Linked DNA regions of Saccharomyces cerevisiae S288C. Changing the gene in region 1 together with any one later gene gives a genetic interaction. Each region holds a gene or a part of one and is shown on either strand. Other genes may lie near its edges.

Region 1 (4,848 bases):
CAAACAACTTTATCTTAATTGGAACCAAGAAAAATTATTCAAACGTTCTCAGGTACTTCATTTTCGGTACGATACTTCACGCTACAATAAATTTTCTATCGTTGCAGATAAACCTTTATTTCACCTGGTAAACAATTCTAAAGTGACAGAGACGGTATGGTTATTGCTAGAATCCCATTTGCAAGATGAAGGCAGCCAAGAAAATCGGTCAGTTTCCTTTTTGAATGAGGCTCCCGAATGCATAATTTGTCCAATTGAACCTCCAGTAGAATGCGGTGGCAATCACATTGGACTTCAGCTGGTAAAGTTGAGATTAGATGCTGAGACTGAGAGGTTATTGTATTGTTATTCAACAACAAACAACAATTTCAGTATTCACTCTTTCTCAGTTGTGAAGGAAATATGTTTTCAAAGATTGAAAGATACAAAAAGTCTTTTTGCCAAAGTCCTTTTCTCTTTTCCTTATGAAATAGAGGGAAAAGCCTCATTTGATACTTGTAATTTTTTTCAAAATCCGACTTTTGAGTTGGAAGTTCACTCTGAACAAGATTATCAAGTACTTATGGACGCCGCATGTATCTCAACTAGCTCACATGATTTAATTAACATCCAAGTATATTACTTTAATGACTATGAATTGATAAAGCCAATAATGTTTGATAACCACTATCAGCCCGGGCAGGGCCTTAAACAAGACGTGCCCATCTTAACTAATGTCAAATATATGATTGTATGCTCAACTTACGGCCCTCCAGCCTCAACGGAATTTGAATTACTTGCCTCGATACGGTTATCCTCTTCATGGAGGTTAATATCTGGAATAACTTTACGGAGTGTTAACTTGATATACGGTACTTATCCATATCATTGTCGCAACAGGTTCCATTGGAAGGAAACTTCAGACAAACTTAAAATTCAGATGACTTTGCCAACCAAAAAGTATTCTACGAACAAACTTTTTATACGTGTAGTACCCGTGGAATCATCAGCACGATTAAGGATGCGATGTAATATTTTCGAGCCTGAATCAGCTCTCTGTGTTTATGAATGTCAAGAGTATAGGACATGTCCATCTGGGGGCATCGTTATACCTGATCTGGAAGTCTCTCGTACTAACATTGTTGTATTGATGATAGAAAGAAGTGTACCTATTTCCAGTTGTTTACCTACGGAAGGACAATTGGATGAATTGGAGTTGTTTGTTGGGTCCAGTCAAAAAATCAGAATTGAAAAATACTCCGATGATGTGATACCAAAATAACTGTGCTTTATCTCAAGAACTGTCTATCCATCCTTTTTACAATTCTACACACAAAATTATATAACCTTGAAGTAGGTGAACATCACAGGATGCTGGAATCGCACCAAAGCACTACATTTGGGGGTAAGGTTTTTCATTACAAATCATTCCATCCAAATAACCAATTATTCAATCTATTTAACCAACTTTTCTTACTCTTGCTCGCTTGTTCCCTTTTCTTCAAGTCAGACTCGATCGAGCTCAGGACACCACTGTGGATCTTCCCTCTGTTTCTCAAAAATAATGAACGACCATCCTTTATTTCAAGCCTGCGTGGATTTTTGAAGGAAGTAGAATTCTTGGAAACCTTGAATTCTGCATTGCGCACTTTTGAAGTAACTGCTTTTGCCTTAGCTTTCTCAAAAATTCCTTCTGTTTTTCTATAATTGCTGAGGTCTTTTGAGCTTAAACTAGTTTGTGAACTTGTTTTATTGTTTATAATTTCCTCCGATTTCTTCAAGGAAGCTAATTGTTTGAGAGCAGCCGGACTATACGAAACACAGCCAATTAATGTTCCATTCATTATAATCCCATTTTCTTGTAAAGCACGAGATTTGGAAAGTTCGGATTTGTAAGTCAACTTGACCCATCCATCTCCTGTATATATGGGATATTTTTGAGCAGTCAATGACGGACTTTTTGACATGTTTTTCGAATTCAACTTTTTAAAATCTTTTATCACTCTAAAATCCTCTAAAATTTCACCGAAATTAGCAAAATGGAGTATAATAGAATTCGCAATCGTTTCTGGATATCCAAAGATAATAATGGCATGATCATCCCAATTCGTCGAGGCCCCTTCCTTACTCCCTGCACTAGCTTCACTTGACGCAGTATTCGGCGTTGTTTTCGTGTTTTTGTCGAAGAAATTAAGTATTCTGGAGGTCTTTTCTAGTGGACGGAAAGGCGAAGGTGTGGCTGTAGGCTTTCCATCAAAGGTTATGTTGGAAGACAAATTAGGATCTTCAATATTGTCAGTCTTACTTGAAAATATACCATCTTCTTTTTGCCAATCTGCCAAGGAGGTCTTGGGCGGTGCCTCATTAGAATCAAAAACTACCGTACCTAAATCTGAACTATGAGCATTGTTGTTGGCACTGTTATTATCATTTGGAGATACGTTTTTAAGGATGCGTGGATCTTTTTTAGAGCCAAAAGTGACATTGTTGAATCCATTGGAATTGGAAAACGCAGGTACATCTGCACTATCAGAACGTACGGGGCTTAAAGATTGGCCATTTGATCTCTTTATTATTGAATTTGGAATGGCTCTTTTCCTTGGATTATTGAACCACGCTGGATTATCATTCAGTTCTCCCGAGACAGTAGAAGGCGGATCTTCCATGAACAGCGGTTGTGGTGCACTCGGAAACCCGTTTAAACCTTTTAACAGTCCCGTTGGCTGCTTTTGCTGCTCCAGCTGCTCCTGCTGTTTTTGTTGTTCATGTTGTCCCTGTGATTCGGGCGCGATAACAGAAACATTGGTGAACCTGCTACTATTCTCTTGTTTTTGAAGGTCTGCCATTTTAAAAAGCTATGTTATTGAGAGTGCAGAGAGAATTTGGGCTAGCTGAGCTGTATATTTGAAACGTAGTTTGCCAGCTAATGCATCTTAAATTCTGTTTAAAAATATTGTGATGAGCTTTTCTTTCACTTCATGACAAGTCGGTCGGGTAATGCCCATCAAATAATACAAAAACTAATAACAATTATAATTATAGAGTTTAACTAAATATACTAACAAGTTTATGTGGAAAATATTGCCCTCATTTCATCTTAACAACCACTTTACCCTTAGCTCTGTTGGACATCAGTCTGTCAATAGCTTCTTTATATTGATCAAACTCGTAGACGGAATCAATAGGTGGCTTATAAGTGCCCTTCTTGATCATTTCGTTGCCAACTTCAATGAAGTTGTTGGGGGGATAAGGGTGTCCAAAGCGCCAGTTGTATTTTTTGAATGGGTTTATAGCCTTTAAAATAGAACTCAATGATACGAAATCTCTCCAACTGATATTCTTATAATCGGCCTTGTTATTTCCTGCAATTGTAACGTAAAAGGAATTTTTCGCCTTAGGTTTTAGAAATTGATCAATGACAGGGAAGAAATCATGGTTACCCACTGAATCAAAAATCATGTCAAATTTGTCGTTTTCCAACACGCTTTGCTTTAATTTCTTAACATTCTCAACGATGGATCCTTCGTCATAGGGAACCAAGTAGTCATATCCTAATTTCTTATTGCGTTCAATGGAATTCTTGCTACAAATGCCAACAACAGTGCCGATGTTGAAGTAGTTTTTTGCAATATGGACAAAAGCATATGACACAGAGGTTGAAGCGCCAATAACCAGAACTTTCGAATCAGAAGTCCAATCTTTCTTGAAATCGTATAATGTAGAAAAGGCTGTACCAAATGTTAGGGGCCAGGCAGCAGCATATACAAAGTCGTCATATGGGTCATTTTCGTCCTTTGGAACCTCCACCATATGTGTGATGGGTACATCTTTGGCAGGGTTGAGTATCAAGTAGTGTGTTAAAGTACCACGTTCACCATAAATATGACTGTACATACCATTCACTTTGTCGCCAACCTTCCAGCGATTGTCGACATCCTTTCCCGCTTTAATGATGACACCACTGTAATCTCTAGAATAAGTCTTTGGATACTTGCCAAATATGTAGGAGTTACAAAGCTGGTGAGTAATAAAATCAATTGGATTCAAAGCAGCAGCATGGACTTCTATAACAACTTCGTCATCTTGATAACATGATCTCAAGTCCAGCTCCGATGATGTAATTGTGACTGGAGTAGTATTGTTAACATAAGTAACAGATTTGTTGGTTACAATCTCGTCTGACATAGTTTTAAAGTATTACCTTTTGTTGTTCGATAATAGAAACGCCGAAATATTTTAGTTTTACTCCATTCAAATAAAGGCCAGTCATTTTTTTATGTATTAAAAGGAGGACAGTATTTTTGCCCCCCTCAACTTTAGAGGGCACTGAAAGGATTTTACAGCAGGAATCCTCTTAAGAAAATCGTCGCCGACAGTACACAGGAAAAAGAAGAGTAAATAATGATTTCTGCATATAATAGCATAATCATGTAATTTTTACTGCATAAATTACACAGTAGGTCGTTTATTTGTCTGTTGATCTTATGTCGTGAGCCCAGTTGATAAATTAAGAGTAGGGTGTTAAATTTACTGCAACCTATCTTCTCTTGAATATGGACTTGATATATTCTGAGCTTTTCTTTGAATATTCTCTTCTGTTGGTTTGAACCGCACAGCAAATTTATAACACTCTGACAATCTAAGTATTTCTGGGGAAAAAACATTCCTTCAATAAAAATGCTCCAGTATATTATTGCAAACAAAAACGGACCAATAAGACAGTGAATCATCCAACAGTGTACAATACCAGGGATGACGGTTGGTACACTTCCCATCTGGTCAAAAACCTTTTCTTATGCAATTAGGTCATTATGCTTCTTGCATATAATACATATGTATGCATACGAATTTACTGAGACGAGGGGAGAA
Region 2 (4,449 bases), on another chromosome or scaffold:
ACGACCGACTAAATAACAGCTCCTGCCGTTCAAATCGTATCTTTTCCACGGTCCTTTATCCTTGTCATTCTTTCTGTATATCACTAGTTCATACATAGTCCTATCTCGCGCCTCCAGTCCTAGCATATCCATGTAGTTATCTGGAGAAATAGCGTCCTGCGGCTCCACATGTTTTAAAGCTATACCTTCTTTGTTATTCGACTCCAGCTCTAACAGACCGGAAGGGCTGAAGTCTGGCATAATATCGATGTACTGCGATTTGAATTTCTTGTCATCATGGCCATAATTTCTGGTGTTATAAGGTCTTTTGCGTCTGTGAAACATGTCTATACGCAAATGGAGTCGGAAATGAAGTACACCATGCTTGCTGTGGCTTTTACGTTATACCAAGGCTTCTATTGTAGGACGCCTTTATTGTCAATTATGTGAAAAGAAAGCAAAAAAAAGAAAAAGAAAAATGAAAAAAGATGAACGTGTGAATGAAAAAAAACTATTTCGAGATGAGATGAGATTAAATGAACAGGATTAAGAATACATTTTCTGTTGCTAAGAGATTAAAACTAAGCAAAGTTATGACGAACTCAGAATTACCGAGCATATTCGAAGGAACTGTTGATTTAGGGATTATTGGTGGTACAGGTTTATATAACCTTGACTGTCTGGAGCCCATCGCTTTGCTTCCACCCATGGTAACACCATGGGGTACCACATCGTCTCCTGTCACAATCTCTCAGTTCGTAGGAACTAACAGCCACTTTCACGTTGCGTTCATAGCCAGACACGGTATTAACCACGAATACCCACCCACTAAAGTCCCATTTAGAGCAAACATGGCGGCCTTAAAGAACTTAAATTGTAAAGCCGTTCTTTCTTTTAGTGCCGTGGGGTCTTTACAACCCCATATAAAGCCTAGAGATTTTGTGTTACCACAGCAAATAATCGACAGAACTAAAGGCATAAGACATTCTTCATATTTCAACGATGAAGGCTTGGTAGGTCACGTTGGTTTCGGACAGCCGTTCTCTCAAAAATTCGCAGAGTATATCTATCAATTCAAGAACGAGATAACAAATCCTGAATCCGAAGAACCGTGCCATTTGCATTACGACAAGGATATGACCGTTGTGTGTATGGAAGGCCCACAATTCTCCACGCGCGCTGAATCCAAGATGTACAGAATGTTTGGTGGCCATGTTATTAACATGAGTGTTATTCCAGAAGCCAAATTGGCGCGTGAGTGTGAGCTGCCTTACCAGATGATTTGTATGTCTACCGATTACGACGCATGGAGAGATGAGGCAGAACCTGTTACCGTAGAAACCGTTATTGGTAATTTGACGAATAATGGGCGCAATGCAAATATTTTAGCTTCTAAGATCATCGTCTCAATGGCCAAGGAAATCCCAGAGTTCATGCATACTGGCGATGGGCTGCGCGGTTCCATCAAGAAATCTATCTCTACCAAACCAGAGGCTATGTCCAAGGAAACCTTAGAAAGACTAAGATACTTATTTCCAAACTATTGGTAATGGTTGCCGCTAATCATATGTAAAATATAAATAGGAGAGAAAACATATATAGCTATGGAAAGTATTAAATGTTTTTTTGCTGTTTTTATATTTTCCCCCTTGGGGACTGTGAGTTCATCATATATGCATATTTGCTACTTGGAATGTAGCCCTTCCTAGTTACAGGGGTATGCGGCGAGTTATTGTCATTGTTAGCGCTCACTAATGTGCTACTGATACCGCTATGCCTCTGCAGTGTGCCAAATACATTCTTTGTGTGTAAGGATTGAGATTGTAGTTTCGTCTGTTCCTCCGCCATTTCCCTTTGTCTTGCTTTCAAAGGCGTCTCTAAGCCTTTGAAGAGATATGCTGGATGATTTTTGAGATTTGTTTGAGGAATATGTGTTTTGTTCTGTGCCATTTGGCTGATCTTAGAAGTGGATACGTAGTGGGGGTGTTGTGGCTGCAACCCAGTATCGACAGATGATTGCATGTCTACCCCCAGGAGCTTCTTTTGCCTGTCAGTGAGATTCAAATCACTTACTTTGACGGTGGATAAGAGCTTCCAAAGAGAAAACAGTATATTGAGCGAGATTAATAGGTGGAACAAGTAGTCAAGAAGTTCTGCATTCAACCAACTGAACGTGGTGTGATATATGATGTTAGCCTTCTTTAACGTGTGAAATGTCAACATGTACAGATGGATTCTGGATAGCCGGTTGCAAAACTGTCTCCCAACATGAGTGTTGTTCCAAAAGAACTTGATGAACTTCACCAGCAGGTTCCAGAACGCAAACGCAATTACGTTTGTCATAATTCTCTGCGTCTCCATTTCCTTGTTTACCGTTCGCCGTGATAGCTCCTTGAGCACAGGACTTTCAAAGTTGCCCAATTTAAACATTGGTGTGTCATTTTGTGATTGTGATGAGGGTTTGCTGTCTGTGTCCGGCAATGGTCCCGGCACGTCATTATCGTCCAGGCCCAATTGGCCCGCCTGAATCTTCATAGTTCCCTCTATTATTTTTTTGCCTCTGCGGATATATTAAAAGTCTGTATATTGTCAAGTTCTTATAATATAAATCTTTTTGTTCATCATAACCATCTTATTAATTGTTATTATTTCTATCATTATTACTATTAGCACAAATTTCATTTTTTTTTTTTTTCATTTTTCTTTAGACTTTAGCCCTAATTAGACCTGAGAAATATTATTATAACCTGAGAAAGGTTTATAAAAAGAACATTATAACCTACAAAAAAGATACTTAAACCCTGAAGTTAATAGGTTTGGACCCTCTTTTTTTTTTTTTGCTTTTTTTTAGAAAACCTCAGTATTCACAGTCTAAGGAACAGATAAAGAGAAGCTTTATGAAAGCAGTCCACAGTGCCACGAACTTTGACATATATAATTGACTTGTGGGGGCTACCGACTGGCTTATATTTCTAAAATTTAGAGATTTGATTATCTTTTTCGCAGCGCGTAAAAGAAACCCACGAAGCATCGCTTAATTTACACATATTCTTCGTTCTCCCCTTTTGGAGAGGATTTAAGCTAAGATATATCTTTCTTCGAGCGCAGTGCTGCTTTTGAGTTCTTTCGTTTTAATTTTCCACTTATTTGGCAATAAAAACTGAGTGAAGAGTGCTTCTCTGTCTGTTTTAGGGAGCTTTTTCAGATCATCATCAGATGGGATTTATAGCAAATATACTGTGCTGTTCTTCAGATACTTCCAAAACACATCGTCAACGCCAACCACCAGAAACTAATCACAACCGCAACCGCAACCGTAAGCACAGTTCAAACAAAGCTCAAACTCAGGGTCGTAAGCAGAAGGCTACTCCAAACGGCGACAAGATGCAATATTCCACACCGGAGATCCTTTTGTCTAGTTCCGATTCAGGCAGCAATGCGGGTTCCAAGACAATGCAGGAGAATGGGAATAGCGGCAATGGAAAACTAGCACCTTTATCAAGAGATCACTCCAACAACTCGTACGATGAGGAGAAAGAATATGAAGATTATAATGAAGGAGACGTAGAAATGACGGAGGTTAACAATGCCGGAGAAGAAGAAGAAGAAGATGACGAAGCAAAAGAAAAGCAAGACCATGTCGTTCATGAATATAACGTTGACGCAGATAGAAATTCCAGTATTAATGACGAGGCGCCACCACAACAGGGTCTGTATCAGGTGGGTCAAGAAGATATGAATCCACAATATGTCGCCAGCAGTCCTGATAATGATTTAAACTTGATACCTACAACGGAGGAGGACTTCTCTGACCTGACGCATTTGCAACCAGACCAGTACCATGCCCCCGGATACGACACTCTGCTACCACCCAAGTTGCAAGAATTTCAACAGAAAAAATGTCTGATATTGGATCTAGACGAAACTTTGGTACATTCTTCCTTTAAATATATGCATTCAGCTGATTTCGTTTTGCCCGTCGAAATCGATGATCAAGTTCACAATGTCTATGTTATTAAGAGGCCAGGCGTCGATGAGTTCTTGAACAGGGTGAGTCAACTATACGAAGTTGTTGTGTTCACGGCAAGTGTTTCGAGGTATGCAAACCCCCTTTTAGATACGTTGGACCCTAATGGAACCATCCATCATCGATTATTCAGAGAAGCTTGTTATAACTACGAAGGTAACTACATCAAGAACTTATCGCAGATCGGAAGACCATTGTCCGAAACAATCATCTTAGATAATTCGCCGGCCTCTTACATCTTTCATCCGCAACATGCTGTTCCGATATCTTCTTGGTTCTCTGATACTCATGATAATGAGTTACTAGATATTATCCCACTTTTGGAGGACCTTTCATCAGGAAACGTGTTGGATGTGGGGAGCGTGTTGGATGTGACGATATAGATTTCTCAGTAACATAAAAAGCAGGCTCTTTTTATTACCCCCCCCTTCGGTTATATGTTT
Region 3 (8,617 bases), 500 kb from region 1:
TGAAAATTAATGGAGAAATAATGCACGTAGTGAGAACTTCCGTCATTAATGTGAAAACAAGCAATGAATCTAACTCATCATTATCAAAAAGGTGAGGAAGGAGCCCGATTACAGTTTTCCTTATGGATTTTTCAATTTCTTTCTGAAGAGCATTCGGCTTCAATGATAATGATTTATGTATTTTGTAATTTTTATTAAACTCAACGGCAATTTGTAGATCGATGTTGGCTGATTTATGCCTTTCAAGAGTCAAATCGCTTAGCACAGCTTCTCTGGCATCACAAAAAGTGCTGAAATGTTTGTTAAATATAGGCAACAGCTTCAGAACAATCAAGCTGGCACTATCATTCTTCATCAACTTGTCCTTCACCACTAGGAGCGTTTGTAATAATCTCCACTTTATTACTTTGAGGAACTCTGCGTCACTATTCTTATCGATTTTTGTGAACCAAGGCTGAACAAAATCTTTAATAATTAAATTAACAATACTCTCTAATTCTTTCCCAATTTGCGCGTTCCCATCTTGTATTAAACCCTCGACAGACTTCAATTCTTTATCAACATCCACAGTATTCGAACTTTCCGGTACGATATCAACAAATCTTGGCTGAGGTTTCGGTAAATCAGGCAAGGATTTGAAGAATACGAAGTACGCAAAGATGCAGACATTAAGAAAGAACCCCAGCGAAAAAGTGATTACCGACCATTGTATCATTGATATTAAGTAAAACAAAACTAAAATCAATCGAAACTGTGGAAACTTAGGCATACGATATCATATCAGAAGGCACAAACACGCGCACTTATGGCGCTTTCAAAGCATGAGAGTCTTCGGTTAATTTACTTATCTTATTGTTTACATATTTTTGAAGTTCGTAAGGCGATGAAAAAAAAAAGTACACAATGGATAGAACTGGGATGGAAAAAGCTCATACAGTCGCAGTCCGCAGTATAGCAACAAAGGGCCACCCTTGCACTTGCACTGTTCATTATTATATTATGTAGCTTTACATAACCTGCAAAATAAGTTAAACGTCCTTAAATAGTGAATCTTGTAATGCTTTAATGTCTCTGCTGATACCCTTGACGAACTCCAATCTGCTTGATTCATCCTCCAACTGCTGTTGCTCTTCTAAAGTTGTAGGTATTATTCTTGAATTCAAGTATTTTGGATGTGTTAGAAACTTGCTTAATGCAGCGCTTAACCTTTTTTTATCATGTTCAGAATCTAGACCAATAACCAATTCTACAGCTTCTTGTTGATCATCAGAGTTTTTAGGCTGAATAAACAATTCTTGGTAATTTAGCAAGTTTAGCATTTTTTGCAATAAAACCAATTGATTCGTTTCCTTTATCAACGAACTTGACACTGCTAACTTGTTGTCACCCCAGTTATATATTGTAGATTTTATTTGTTTTCCAAAATATGAAACAAATAGGCACGTCTCAGGTAAAACCTTGATACCGAACTGACTTAATAGTAGTAGAACAATGGATAACAAACCATTGCTCCAAATGTTGTGCAATCTAGGCGAAAATTCAGGTTTTATATCACCTTGCTGTATTGCAACAGATAGTGGACTTTCCAATAGAACGCTATACAATCCACTGTTGATGAGTTTTGCAGCAATTGGCTCAATAGAACACAATTCGGAGATAAAGGTCAGAGTAATTTGCCCAAGAATTGGTTCATCGTTAATCCTTATCAAATGCGCGCTTGAATATAGGTTCAGTATAACTTTCAAAGTTCCTACTTCGTTTAGGGATGATGCTAGAATAACATTGAAGTTTTTAGAGGGATTCACATTGGTGATCTTCTTGAAGAGTGATAATAATAACAATAAATCCTGAGTATTATCCTCCAAGTTGACAATTTGGGTGGTGTGATCGGTGCTTAAACCCCTCGTGGAGCATTTATTGATCTGACATAATATCTCAGACAGTATCAAATAAACACCCTTACTAAACACTAATTCAAAAAATTCCAGTAGTTGATCAGATATTAATTCGATAAAACGATCTCCTGACGAGACTAACTCGAGAAGAACTAAGACAGATCTCAAAAGAGGTCTATAAAAGTTATTTTTTAGTGACTTACCAATATTTTTAATAAAGTCAATCTCACCAGATTTGAAAATTGTAAAAATCTTGTTCATCAATTCAATTATCTTTTCTTCCTTCAACAATTTTCCCGACAACTTGAACGAATATAAAATGTAAAACGACAACTCAATTCTTTCCAGATATATTTGGGTAAACATTTGTTTATCTGAACCAAAATCAATATTTAACTTGAGGAAATGCTCTACCAAGTCGACAAAACCATCATTTAACGGAACAGTGCTCCTCTTCACAAACGTGGTGATTAGTGCGCCCCATGCTTTTGCGGTAGATATTTCGTAATTGACATACTGCAAATTTAATGAAGCGTCTGTTATTTCCTCCTTAAAATTTGTCTGACTCTTACTTGGTTCGTTCCAACTACGGTCAGCTTTTAAAACTATATCTAATAACGGAATATCATAACCGAAATTCTCATTTTCGTTTATTCTGGATAATGGAATTTTTTGGAACGACTGAAGCTCTAAACTGGGCCATTTCTCTTTAAATTTTAAGTTTAATTCATCATGAAAAGTTTTATTGAACCCATCAATTTGGAAGAAATGATGAACTAATTCAAACAAGTCTTCCTGATTCAAAAAATTTAAAATTTCCGAGTTTGAATCAGTGGAGTTGTAAATACACAACGCAAATATTTCTACAATCCTTGAGATCAATTTGTATTTCTTAATCAAAGAAACAGTTTCGTCACGAGTCAAATTTTCCTTTTTCTGAAATAATTTTTTTGAGTCCTTCAACTTAGCCAATAAGGAATTCACAAATTTAGGATCTTTTATGAATATTTTAGAATTTGTCCAAGTGTTTAAAACATATGTTATCGTTTCTAATAACTTGCAACTTACTTCTTCAGGCGTTGAATCTAATAGTAAAGAATTCTTTTGCAAAACAGTTAATATAGAACTCTTTTTGTCTATGGAGGATTCGTCATTAATTTTTTTATTGGAGGCAAATTGACCTGTTAAGAAGAGGATAGATAACCCATCTTGTTTACTTTCTAATAGGGTAGTAAAAAAAATGTACAAACTTCGGAGAAGGTTCCAATCTTGCACTGGAGAGCTCAGGTCCGACAGGACTTCTTTCAAAAATGCCATTGACTTTGCTTCACCAAGGAAAGATAACAGAAATGGATAGTCGTCATTCCAAGGAGCCTCTACTAAATAGCTTAACAACTCTATGATCTGCACTTTGAAATGAACATAACTTGGTAGGGTATAAACGTCAACCAATTTTGATGAATTTATGAAAAGCAATTTTTCCAGGTTGCTTGGCTTTAAATCACGATTGCTACCTCGAATAGCGATCAAAAGCGTGCACAGCTTGAAGGAGTTATTCATTACCTTGCTATATAAATTACCCAAAATTTTGTCGCCTAAAATTTTTGTTGTGGTATTCAATGGTGAAATCAGAATATTCGTCAAAGTATTTGGAGCCAAATCAATGGAATCCATGGGAGTCAAAAATAACTGCAACAATTTGTTTGCTGACGAGGAAATGATTAACTGATCCTTTTGATGTGGATTTATGGTGAAAACGTCATGAAGTACATCATAAAAAATTAATGTCAAATGGAAGGCAATTTCGAATTTTTGTAAGAAGTTGTTGTACTTCCAGTTGTAATAACTCTCAAAGATATGAATTGCATGTAGAATCAACTTATTAATAATATCAATTTTACTTCTCTTGGAAATATGGATATTTTTCAATGAGAGAGATTCTCGAATAAAGACTTTTGTTAGCTTAAGCAATTGGATAGTGAATGTGTAATCCCCCGTAGATAATTCAACCGAACCGAGTATCATATTGGAAAGACCAGTCTTACCATATTTGTCTAACAAATCCGATTTGTTCAAGTAAGAAGAAACAAGATGAAGGTAATTCGGTGTCAGCATAGTCATAAATTCACAACATTGTACAATTGAGGTATAATCTTTTCTTTGTAGTGATATTTCAAAAATCTCGAAAATTACTTGGATAATCGACGCTCCATTTATGGTGCTGGCTGAAGTATCCAGAGAATTTGATAAATATGACAGAATTTCACTAGATTTCTCGATCGAGGTTTTCGGATCGACAACGTTAGTGACTAACTTTATTATGGATATCATCAATTCATGTTGTAAGTCATCCAGTTGTGTACCCTTTTCCATATATGAATGTAATAGATTTTGCAATATTCTACCCACCAAAGACCAACCATTGAATTTGTAAAGGAAAATAATCAAATTGGAAGTAGTTGGCGGCTGTTGTCCATTCTGTTGTTGTTGTTGTTGTTGTTGTTGTTTGATAGTAAGAATTTTTCCCTTTGTTGATTTTGGTATTGACAAGAGACAATTAGAGTTTTCGTTTTCTAAGGGTGGCGCCACTAGTAAATCAGACTTCAACTCTATCAAATCAGGCACTATAATATCGGAGGATGAAGAAGAGTTTGTTATTGTATCAGCAATTAAGTCATAATCCAAATCGTTCAAACTACTTTTGGTAACAGCAAATGAACATATATCTTTTAATTCAAAATTGGCAAACTCGGTATCAATTAAGGCTAAATTAATTAGCGGGATCAGTGATTCGTTCAATAGGGGCAATTTAGCCTTTATGATGCTCAATTTTTTCTCAAAAGTGTCATTAGTTAAGAAATTCTCAATGAACTGCTCTGGTGCCTTTGAAATTATCTTGGCGAAAACCCGGGAAGTAGATGCAGTTATAGGAATAAAATTTAAAGAAAACTCCAAAAATACTGTTATTACTGTGGTGTAAACAGGATCAAAGGATAGAATTTCTGAGAGAGTATTCAATTTTTGAAGAACATCATGTGATTCAGCAAACAGAGCAAATTTCGTTATGTCTGAATCATCAAATGATTCCGACGATTGTAATGCTCGCCTATAATAAAGTATAAATGACCAGGAGTAATGAATCATTGGATGGAAAATGGGGTCCTCGTTGACGATATTGGTTGCTACATCATTCTCTAGAGCGCTATTGACGGTGTCGAAAGTTTCTGTATCCATGTACAAAGGTGACTGAATATCAAATTGCGCGATTGAAGTGTTCAGTCCAAGTATCAATATAGTTGTGATAGTAAATAAAGATGAAATCCTGGAAATAAGCGTTTCTGAGAGGTAACTGAGGTCTTGGAAATTCTGAAACTTGTACAATTGTAGTGACGAGGTATCTATACTCTTGTCTGTTGAATTTATATTTCTGCAAAATTCAACAAATTGATTTTGATACTGTAGAAACCATTGATTGACGATATCTACTGGTACTTTTGTGTTGAGGATCATTAAATTCAAAATTTGTAATATCTGCAAGATAAACTTCAAATCAGAAAATTTTTTTAACTGCACCAATGAGACAATTGTGAACATGTCTTGATCGTTATTATAATCATGTGCTAAAGATGAAGCTGTAATAATGTCGTAGTTCTGGATTACAGATGATATTATAGAAATCAATTTCCCCACTACATTGAATCTATCGTTGTCAATAAATGAATATGTCTCGAGGTCGATGTCAGGGTTAACGAGAAGTGAGTATACTATATGAAGTCTAGATGATCTCTCAGACATAAAGAATTCTACAGCATGAGAAAGGTCCTCAGATTGAGCAAAGAATGGATCATTATCGACGTTTATTTGCAATAAGTTTGCAATTGTAGAGCGTAACTTGTTATGATCGCCGGAAGAAGTTACATTCTGCCTTATTGTGTTCAGACTCTCGATAAGATTTGTCTTGTTAGCTTTCAAAAACTGTCTTATTTGGGCCAATTGCTTGGCATCCACAGCGGATACATCAGCAGCAGCATCGTTCATAAAATTAGCAACATGAGTGAAGGTCAATTGTGGAGAGGAATTGCCAAATGAAGGTGTAGCCATGGCTGATGGGGTCCTTTTTTTAGCGGTGGAAAGGGTTATCTCTTTATTTGTGTTTCTGTTCGAATATTAAAGATGTCTCAAAGTATTCATTTCAAGAAGAAAATTTTTGGTATTACAAAATATTCTTACCCGGAATATATACATATATACCTTAACTACAAGCAGGAGCCGGCTTTCTGGCAAGGAGGGAGAAGACATAGATTGTTTGCGTATATATGTGGGAATAGCGTCCAAGCACGCCCGTGGCTGAGGGAGCACCACGATCGTTCGGTGTACTTGACACCTCTATATGGTATGTTCTTCCCTGATATTGATATCAGCACAATTACGGCTCTAAGAAACGATGAATATAAAAAACGTTAATTAGGAATTTGACATATGTGCTAGTATTCGGGCCCCTGAGCAAGTTTGTGCGCACGACGCCTGTCCGTTGCTGCACATGCTTGCGTGGGGCCTTTTTGTCGTGTTTTTATTTAGGGACTGTTATCGAAGGAATAGATTTCTGTGGTGAAAAGTAGAAAACTACTAGCTTTTATAGACGGTGGGGGAGAAAAAGGAAAATTAGAATTGAAAAAAATTTGAAAAAATATGAAAATGTGAAAAGGACGCCTTATTTCCTTGGGTTGCCCGGCGAACACGTTAGTTAACTCGCTGTCTAACTGATGGGCTATTATTATAGCGTTATAGTACGTATCAGAATTTAAAAGAAGGAGGCAGAAAAGCTTAGAGCAAAGGGGCAGGACAATGGAAGCTTCACATTTGCAAATCTACTGGCATGATTCACAACCCGTTTACTCGCTCACATTCCAAAAGAACAGTGCGAACGACAAGCTTTTCACCGCTGGTGGTGATAACAAGGTTAGGATATGGAAGTTGAACAGAGATGAAAACGGACAAAATGGGGGGGTGCGTAAGATTGAAAGCCTTGACTTTCTTGGCTCGCTGACGCATCACGAACAGGCCATAAATGTAATCCGATTCAACTCGAAGGGTGACGTACTGGCGTCTGCGGGCGATGACGGCCAAGTGCTGCTATGGAAGCAAGAAGATCCAAATACACAGCAAGAATCTGTGGTCAGACCATTCGGAATGGATGCGGAGACTAGTGAAGCAGACGAGAACAAGGAGAAATGGGTTGTGTGGAAACGGCTGCGTGGTGGTAGCGGTGCTACTGCGGCGGCAGAGATTTACGATCTAGCGTGGTCACCTGATAACAGGAACATAGTGGTGGCATGTATGGACAATTCGATACGACTGTTCGATGTTGGAGCTGGGATGCTGGTATGCGGCCAGTCGGATCATGGTCACTACGTCCAAGGTGTTGCATGGGACCCATTAAATCAGTTTATTCTCTCACAGTCTGCGGACCGGTCTCTGCATGTATATGGAGTCATTCTTTCATCTGCAGGAGTGGTTACAGGGCTGAAACTTAGAAGTAAGATTGCCAAGGCAGAACTGCCTTGTCCAGGTGATGTCCTGAGGACAAATTACCTTTTTCACAACGAGACGCTACCTTCATTCTTTAGGCGATGCAGCATATCGCCTTGTGGTGGTTTGGTCGTAATTCCCAGTGGTGTGTATAAGGTGGCTGGTGATGAAGTCGCGAACTGCGTATACGTGTATACTAGATCTGGAATACTGAACAGCGCTGGTGGCGTTAAAAACCGGCCTGCGATTAGAATCCCATCTTTGAAGAAACCAGCGCTGATGGCGGCTTTCTCGCCCGTATTTTACGAAACGTGCCAGAAGAGTGTGCTTAAGCTGCCCTATAAGCTAGTATTTGCCATAGCAACGACTAACGAAGTACTCGTGTACGACACGGATGTATTGGAGCCGTTATGCGTTGTGGGAAATATACATTACTCACCCATAACTGATTTAGCATGGTCTGAGGATGGCTCGACCCTACTAATCTCATCAACAGACGGATTCTGTTCGTATGTATCGATCGACACAGAAACGCAATTCGGTTCAAGGATAGAGCCGCCAGCGATGCATGCAGAGCCACTAGACACTGACGAGAGCGCGGTAGCGGCTAAGAACCAGCGCGAGGCAGGTGGGATCGTGAACATGCTGCCGGTGAAGAAGATCCCCTGCAATAGTAGCGATAGTAAAAAGAGGCGCATACATCCTACGCCAGTCGATTTGTGATTTTTAATATATTTAATGCGGTACATAAGAATGCCTAATCTAGTTTGCCAGCGAAGATATTTTCCATTGTGTGCTCAATGGACCCTGTGTTCCTGAGATCTTGCACGACTTTTTCCTGAGGCACATGTGGCGCCATCGTCATCACGATTTCAACCATGTCACTATTAACGGCTCTCTTTCGATCACTACCATGTCTGTTTAACCGAGCAACGCGTTCCTCCGGAGCCGATGGTACTGGCTCCGGAGAAGGGTCGTTGGTGGCGACCGAGGGCGCCGGTTTGGCATCCTGTACGGTTCGCGAGGGTACTTGCTTGGCGCCCCTGTGTTTCACGGTGTAAACAAACAAGCACACCATCGTCAGTATAAACACTATAGTCGATCCATCCATTTTTACTTTTGTGCGCGTGGGTAGCCGTGCCTCGTCTGTGTGTGTGGGAATGTATAAATGTGTCCCGAGTTATTATTCTAAA
Region 4 (4,841 bases), on another chromosome or scaffold:
CTACGCTAAAGTAGATGATGCCATGGACATTCTAGCTGAGCACGGGGTTGCAGGCGTAATAGGACTAATTTTCAATGCCCTTTTTGGAGCAGACTGGGTCATTGGTATGGATGGCACTACAGAGCACGAGGGCGGCTGGGTAACTCACAATTACAAGCAAATGTATAAGCAGATCGCTTACATTGCCGCATCCATTGGGTACACTGCTGCTGTAACTGCAATAATCTGCTTTGTGCTCGGCTACATACCCGGTATGAGGCTAAGAATATCAGAAGAGGCAGAGGAGGCGGGTATGGACGAAGATCAAATTGGCGAATTTGCGTACGATTATGTGGAAGTGAGAAGAGATTACTATCTATGGGGTGTAGACGAAGATTCACAACGCTCTGATGTAAATCACCGGGTGAACAACGCTCATTTGGCCGCTGAACGTAGCAGTAGCGGTACTAATAGTTCCTCGGATGGGAATGGAGAAATGATTCAATCCGAAAAGATCCTACCAATTCATCAAGAAGATCCTGCCAATAGGTAAACGGTTTATTGATTTTGTTTCCAGCTTGGCTCTCTTGATTTTTTATGAGCACGTGTTATTTATTCCTTATTCAAACCTTCATATATGTATAGATGTGCATTGTTTATACGTTACCTAGCATTTTAATGACCCTCCTATTTAGTTATCTTTTATCACATTCGTTAAAACCTAGAGGAAAAAAAGAAAACTGGAGGATTTCACAAATCTTCCTCCAATGTTGCTCATTTCAAGCAAAAAACGACCCCAGTGAGGGTTGAACTCACGATCTTGCGATTAACAGTCGCACGCCTTAACCAACTTGGCCATGGAGTCTTTTTGACTATGTTCTCGAGAAAATATAGGCTCTCTTAGTCCTCAACATTTTAATTATTTGAGTACACCAACCGGTAATCGTGAAATAGTTAACACTCTAGATCCAAAAAATACGTATTTAGGTATAATGGGATGTAAGACCGTTTTTATGAGGGTGCCTTATTTAAATTAAAATTATTATTGCTCGGGCCTTTACCTCGATTTCATGGAATTTTCAACAGGACAAGAAAATGAAGCTTAGAAAAAATATAGAATAATAAATAATATGAAAAGGGAATGGTCAACAGTCATAGTCGCAATTTCTCTCAGGGCGAAATGGACTTTTTGAATGATGATGAACTAGACTTAGATTTACCGGTAACCGCAGAAATATCGAAAGAGTTATTCGCAACAGAAATAGAGAAGTATCGTGAATCCGAGACTAATGGGACCGATGTTGATAACTTTGATGTCGACAGATTCCTAGTGCAGAAAAATTTCCATTACCTTCCTCTCGATTCCCTTATTAGAGATTTGTCTGGACTTTCACAAAAAATGGTACAAACATTATTAGAACAAATAAGAAGTAACTACGACGACTATCTGACTTTTTCCAATACCTATACAGATGAAGAAAATGAAACTCTAATAAATTTAGAGAAAACACAAAGTGATCTTCAAAAATTTATGACTCAATTAGATCATTTGATAAAGGATGACATCAGCAATACACAAGAAATTATAAAGGATGTCCTGGAATACCTAAAGAAGTTAGATGAGATTTACGGCTCTCTGCGTAACCATTCACAATTGACAGAAGCGCTCTCACTTGGAAAGAGATTGAGTAAATCTCTCCATGAAATGTGCGGTATAGAACCATTAGAAGAAGAAATTTGCTCTGGCCTGATTGAGCAGTTGTATAAGTTGATTACGGCATCTCGTCGAATATTGGAGTCTTGTGCTGATTCCAATTCACCATATATTCATCATCTGCGCAATGACTATCAAGACCTTCTGCAAGAATTTCAAATCTCACTGAAAATCTTGACCGAAAAGTGTCTTGAAAACCCATCAAGCCTGCAAAACCTATCTTTGACATTAGTCTCCATTATAAAAACGGCATAGTTGGGAGAAAACTTTCCATACTTCAATTGTGGACTGATATAAGTATTTTAGTTTTGCCCGCATGATCATCCCACATGGCTACAGCAGTTCTCTCATAGGAAAATAGTACAATAGCTACGTGATATAATCTAAATAATTGTTGCCAATGTGTAATTATATCATTTTGAACGTACGCGAAATGGATTATTTTCAAAAATTTTGTTTCTTGAAATGAGTAAAAGCAAAAGTCCAACTCTCCAAGTCGATGTAAACAACTTTTTGCCAAAGGGACTGAAAGACTAAATCGAGGATTATCCCGTTCAAACTATTCCAGAAACGCTCGTTAGTAACAAAAGACATACCTTGTTGACCAATTGATCACATGTTTGGTTTCAGCGGTAGTAATAACGGGTTCGGAAATAAACCAGCTGGTTCGACCGGTTTTTCATTTGGACAAAACAATAACAATACAAATACTCAACCTTCGGCTTCAGGATTTGGTTTTGGGGGCAGCCAGCCAAATTCTGGGACGGCTACTACCGGAGGGTTTGGTGCAAATCAGGCCACAAATACTTTTGGAAGTAACCAACAAAGTAGTACAGGTGGAGGCCTTTTCGGTAATAAGCCTGCTCTTGGCAGCCTAGGAAGTTCAAGCACTACCGCTTCAGGAACTACAGCTACTGGAACAGGTTTATTTGGGCAACAAACAGCACAACCTCAACAATCCACCATTGGAGGTGGGTTATTTGGAAACAAGCCAACTACCACAACGGGAGGTCTTTTCGGCAACAGTGCACAAAACAATAGTACCACAAGTGGGGGTTTATTTGGTAATAAAGTAGGATCCACTGGCTCACTGATGGGCGGCAATAGCACTCAAAACACATCTAACATGAATGCAGGCGGACTTTTTGGTGCAAAGCCTCAGAATACTACAGCGACTACGGGAGGCCTATTTGGCAGTAAGCCACAAGGATCAACAACTAATGGTGGCCTGTTTGGAAGCGGCACCCAGAATAACAATACCCTTGGGGGAGGTGGCCTTTTTGGCCAATCCCAGCAGCCTCAAACAAACACTGCGCCCGGACTTGGAAACACGGTATCCACACAACCATCATTTGCTTGGTCTAAGCCTTCAACTGGATCTAATTTACAGCAGCAGCAGCAGCAGCAAATTCAAGTACCGTTGCAACAAACGCAAGCAATTGCTCAACAACAGCAGCTGTCTAATTATCCGCAGCAAATTCAAGAACAGGTGTTGAAATGTAAAGAATCGTGGGATCCAAACACAACGAAAACAAAACTCAGGGCTTTCGTGTACAATAAAGTGAACGAAACGGAAGCCATTTTATATACAAAACCAGGACATGTACTTCAAGAAGAGTGGGATCAGGCAATGGAAAAGAAACCTTCCCCTCAGACAATTCCCATTCAAATATATGGATTTGAGGGTTTGAATCAACGTAATCAAGTACAGACTGAAAATGTAGCCCAAGCTAGAATAATTTTGAACCATATTTTAGAGAAATCCACACAATTGCAACAAAAGCATGAATTGGACACTGCGTCCAGAATTTTGAAGGCACAATCAAGGAATGTTGAAATTGAAAAAAGAATCTTAAAATTGGGCACACAATTGGCAACCCTGAAAAATAGAGGACTGCCATTGGGTATTGCAGAAGAGAAAATGTGGTCGCAATTCCAAACTTTACTACAGCGGAGCGAAGATCCTGCAGGTTTAGGTAAGACTAACGAACTTTGGGCACGTTTGGCTATCTTAAAAGAACGTGCTAAAAACATTTCTAGTCAATTAGATAGTAAATTAATGGTTTTCAACGACGATACAAAAAACCAAGACAGCATGTCCAAAGGCACCGGTGAAGAATCTAATGATCGTATTAATAAGATAGTGGAAATTCTGACGAATCAACAACGCGGTATAACATATTTAAATGAGGTTTTAGAGAAAGATGCTGCAATTGTAAAAAAATATAAAAATAAAACGTAATCAGGTTACTTAAATCAATGACTGAATTGTATAAAGATCGATCTATTACATATATAGCATTATTAACCAACTTAGTATATGAACAGAACTTCAACCCAAGGGAAGCAGACATTCACTATAAAACTTTTCTCAGCATCAAAATAAAGTGCAAATTATGTTGTTTTTTTCTATTGAATTATACATTCTATTAAAGAGAAAATATTGATGTGATTCTCTCCCATTCCTAATAAGAAATTAGAAGGAACTTTCTGGAAGAATAAAGAGATACATTAAGGTACAAAAACAATGTAGTCCTCGAGAGGATAACTTTCGTGCTTATGATCTTGGCTTTTCCTTCTTTTCTTTCCACAAAGCCAACAAGGAGACACCAGAGACCTTAACGACCTTGAATCTAACACCTGGAATATCACCCTTAGCTTTACCCTTTCTACCGAAACCTGCTAGCAAGACTTCATCATTTTCGTCGACAAAGTTCAAACAACCATCGTTTGGAACGAAAGCAGTGACCTTCTTACCGTTCTTGATTAATTGAACTCTAACACACTTTCTGATAGCAGAGTTAGGTTGCTTGGATTCGATACCCAATTTTTCCAAGACGATACCCTTGGCATGAGAAGAACCACCGAATGGAGAAGACTTGAAGGCAGTACCCAACAATCTCTTCTTGTAGTTGTTTTCGGCCCAACGGCTATAATAATAAAAAAAAACTGTTAGTAAAAAAATGATTCCGTTGTAAAAAACGGCCTCCTGTGACTTTCTGAGTTATTTTGGGAAGAAAAGGTTTATTTTCCACACTATAGATTGGGAAGAATGGCCGAAGCTGACCGTTCACTATTCATTACTTTTTATCACTGTGACGTGTCATTTTAAGCCTCTCCAAACTGATTTGCGCCAGGATATGTTACT

What was found.
Region 2: mutations in NUP53 (region 1) and POM34 together harm fitness more than expected from each alone (negative genetic interaction), as found in Saccharomyces cerevisiae (6 studies listed by BioGRID, with this or other methods).
Region 3: mutations in NUP53 (region 1) and NUP188 together harm fitness more than expected from each alone (negative genetic interaction), as found in Saccharomyces cerevisiae (5 studies listed by BioGRID, with this or other methods).
Region 4: mutations in NUP53 (region 1) and NUP57 together harm fitness more than expected from each alone (negative genetic interaction), as found in Saccharomyces cerevisiae (3 studies listed by BioGRID).

The regions. Positions count from the first base shown.
Region 1 is NC_001145.3:562,412-567,259, reverse strand, and holds NUP53 (FG-nucleoporin NUP53), read right to left. Parts: upstream 2,826-4,848; coding exon 1,398-2,825; downstream 1-1,397. Other genes in the region: RIM13 (Rim13p), read left to right, coding at 1-1,261; YIM1 (Yim1p), read right to left, coding at 3,067-4,164; endopeptidase catalytic subunit IMP1, read left to right, coding at 4,732-4,848. UniProt on the Saccharomyces cerevisiae protein: Functions as a component of the nuclear pore complex (NPC).
Region 2 is NC_001144.5:177,093-181,541, forward strand, and holds POM34 (Pom34p), read right to left. Parts: upstream 2,515-4,449; coding exon 1,615-2,514; downstream 1-1,614. Other genes in the region: PML1 (Pml1p), read right to left, coding at 1-324; MEU1 (S-methyl-5-thioadenosine phosphorylase), read left to right, coding at 516-1,529; PSR2 (putative phosphatase), read left to right, coding at 3,196-4,389. UniProt on the Saccharomyces cerevisiae protein: Functions as a component of the nuclear pore complex (NPC).
Region 3 is NC_001145.3:61,554-70,170, forward strand, and holds NUP188 (Nup188p), read right to left. Parts: upstream 5,997-8,617; coding exon 1,029-5,996; downstream 1-1,028. Other genes in the region: MDM1 (Mdm1p), read right to left, coding at 1-769; CAC2 (Cac2p), read left to right, coding at 6,741-8,147; CUE4 (Cue4p), read right to left, coding at 8,182-8,535; YML100W-A (uncharacterized protein), read left to right, coding at 8,585-8,617. UniProt on the Saccharomyces cerevisiae protein: Functions as a component of the nuclear pore complex (NPC).
Region 4 is NC_001139.9:727,140-731,980, reverse strand, and holds NUP57 (FG-nucleoporin NUP57), read left to right. Parts: upstream 1-2,309; coding exon 2,310-3,935; downstream 3,936-4,841. Other genes in the region: ammonium permease MEP1, read left to right, coding at 1-532; Golgi transport complex subunit COG2, read left to right, coding at 1,160-1,948; 40S ribosomal protein uS12 RPS23A, read right to left, coding at 4,251-4,623. UniProt on the Saccharomyces cerevisiae protein: Functions as a component of the nuclear pore complex (NPC).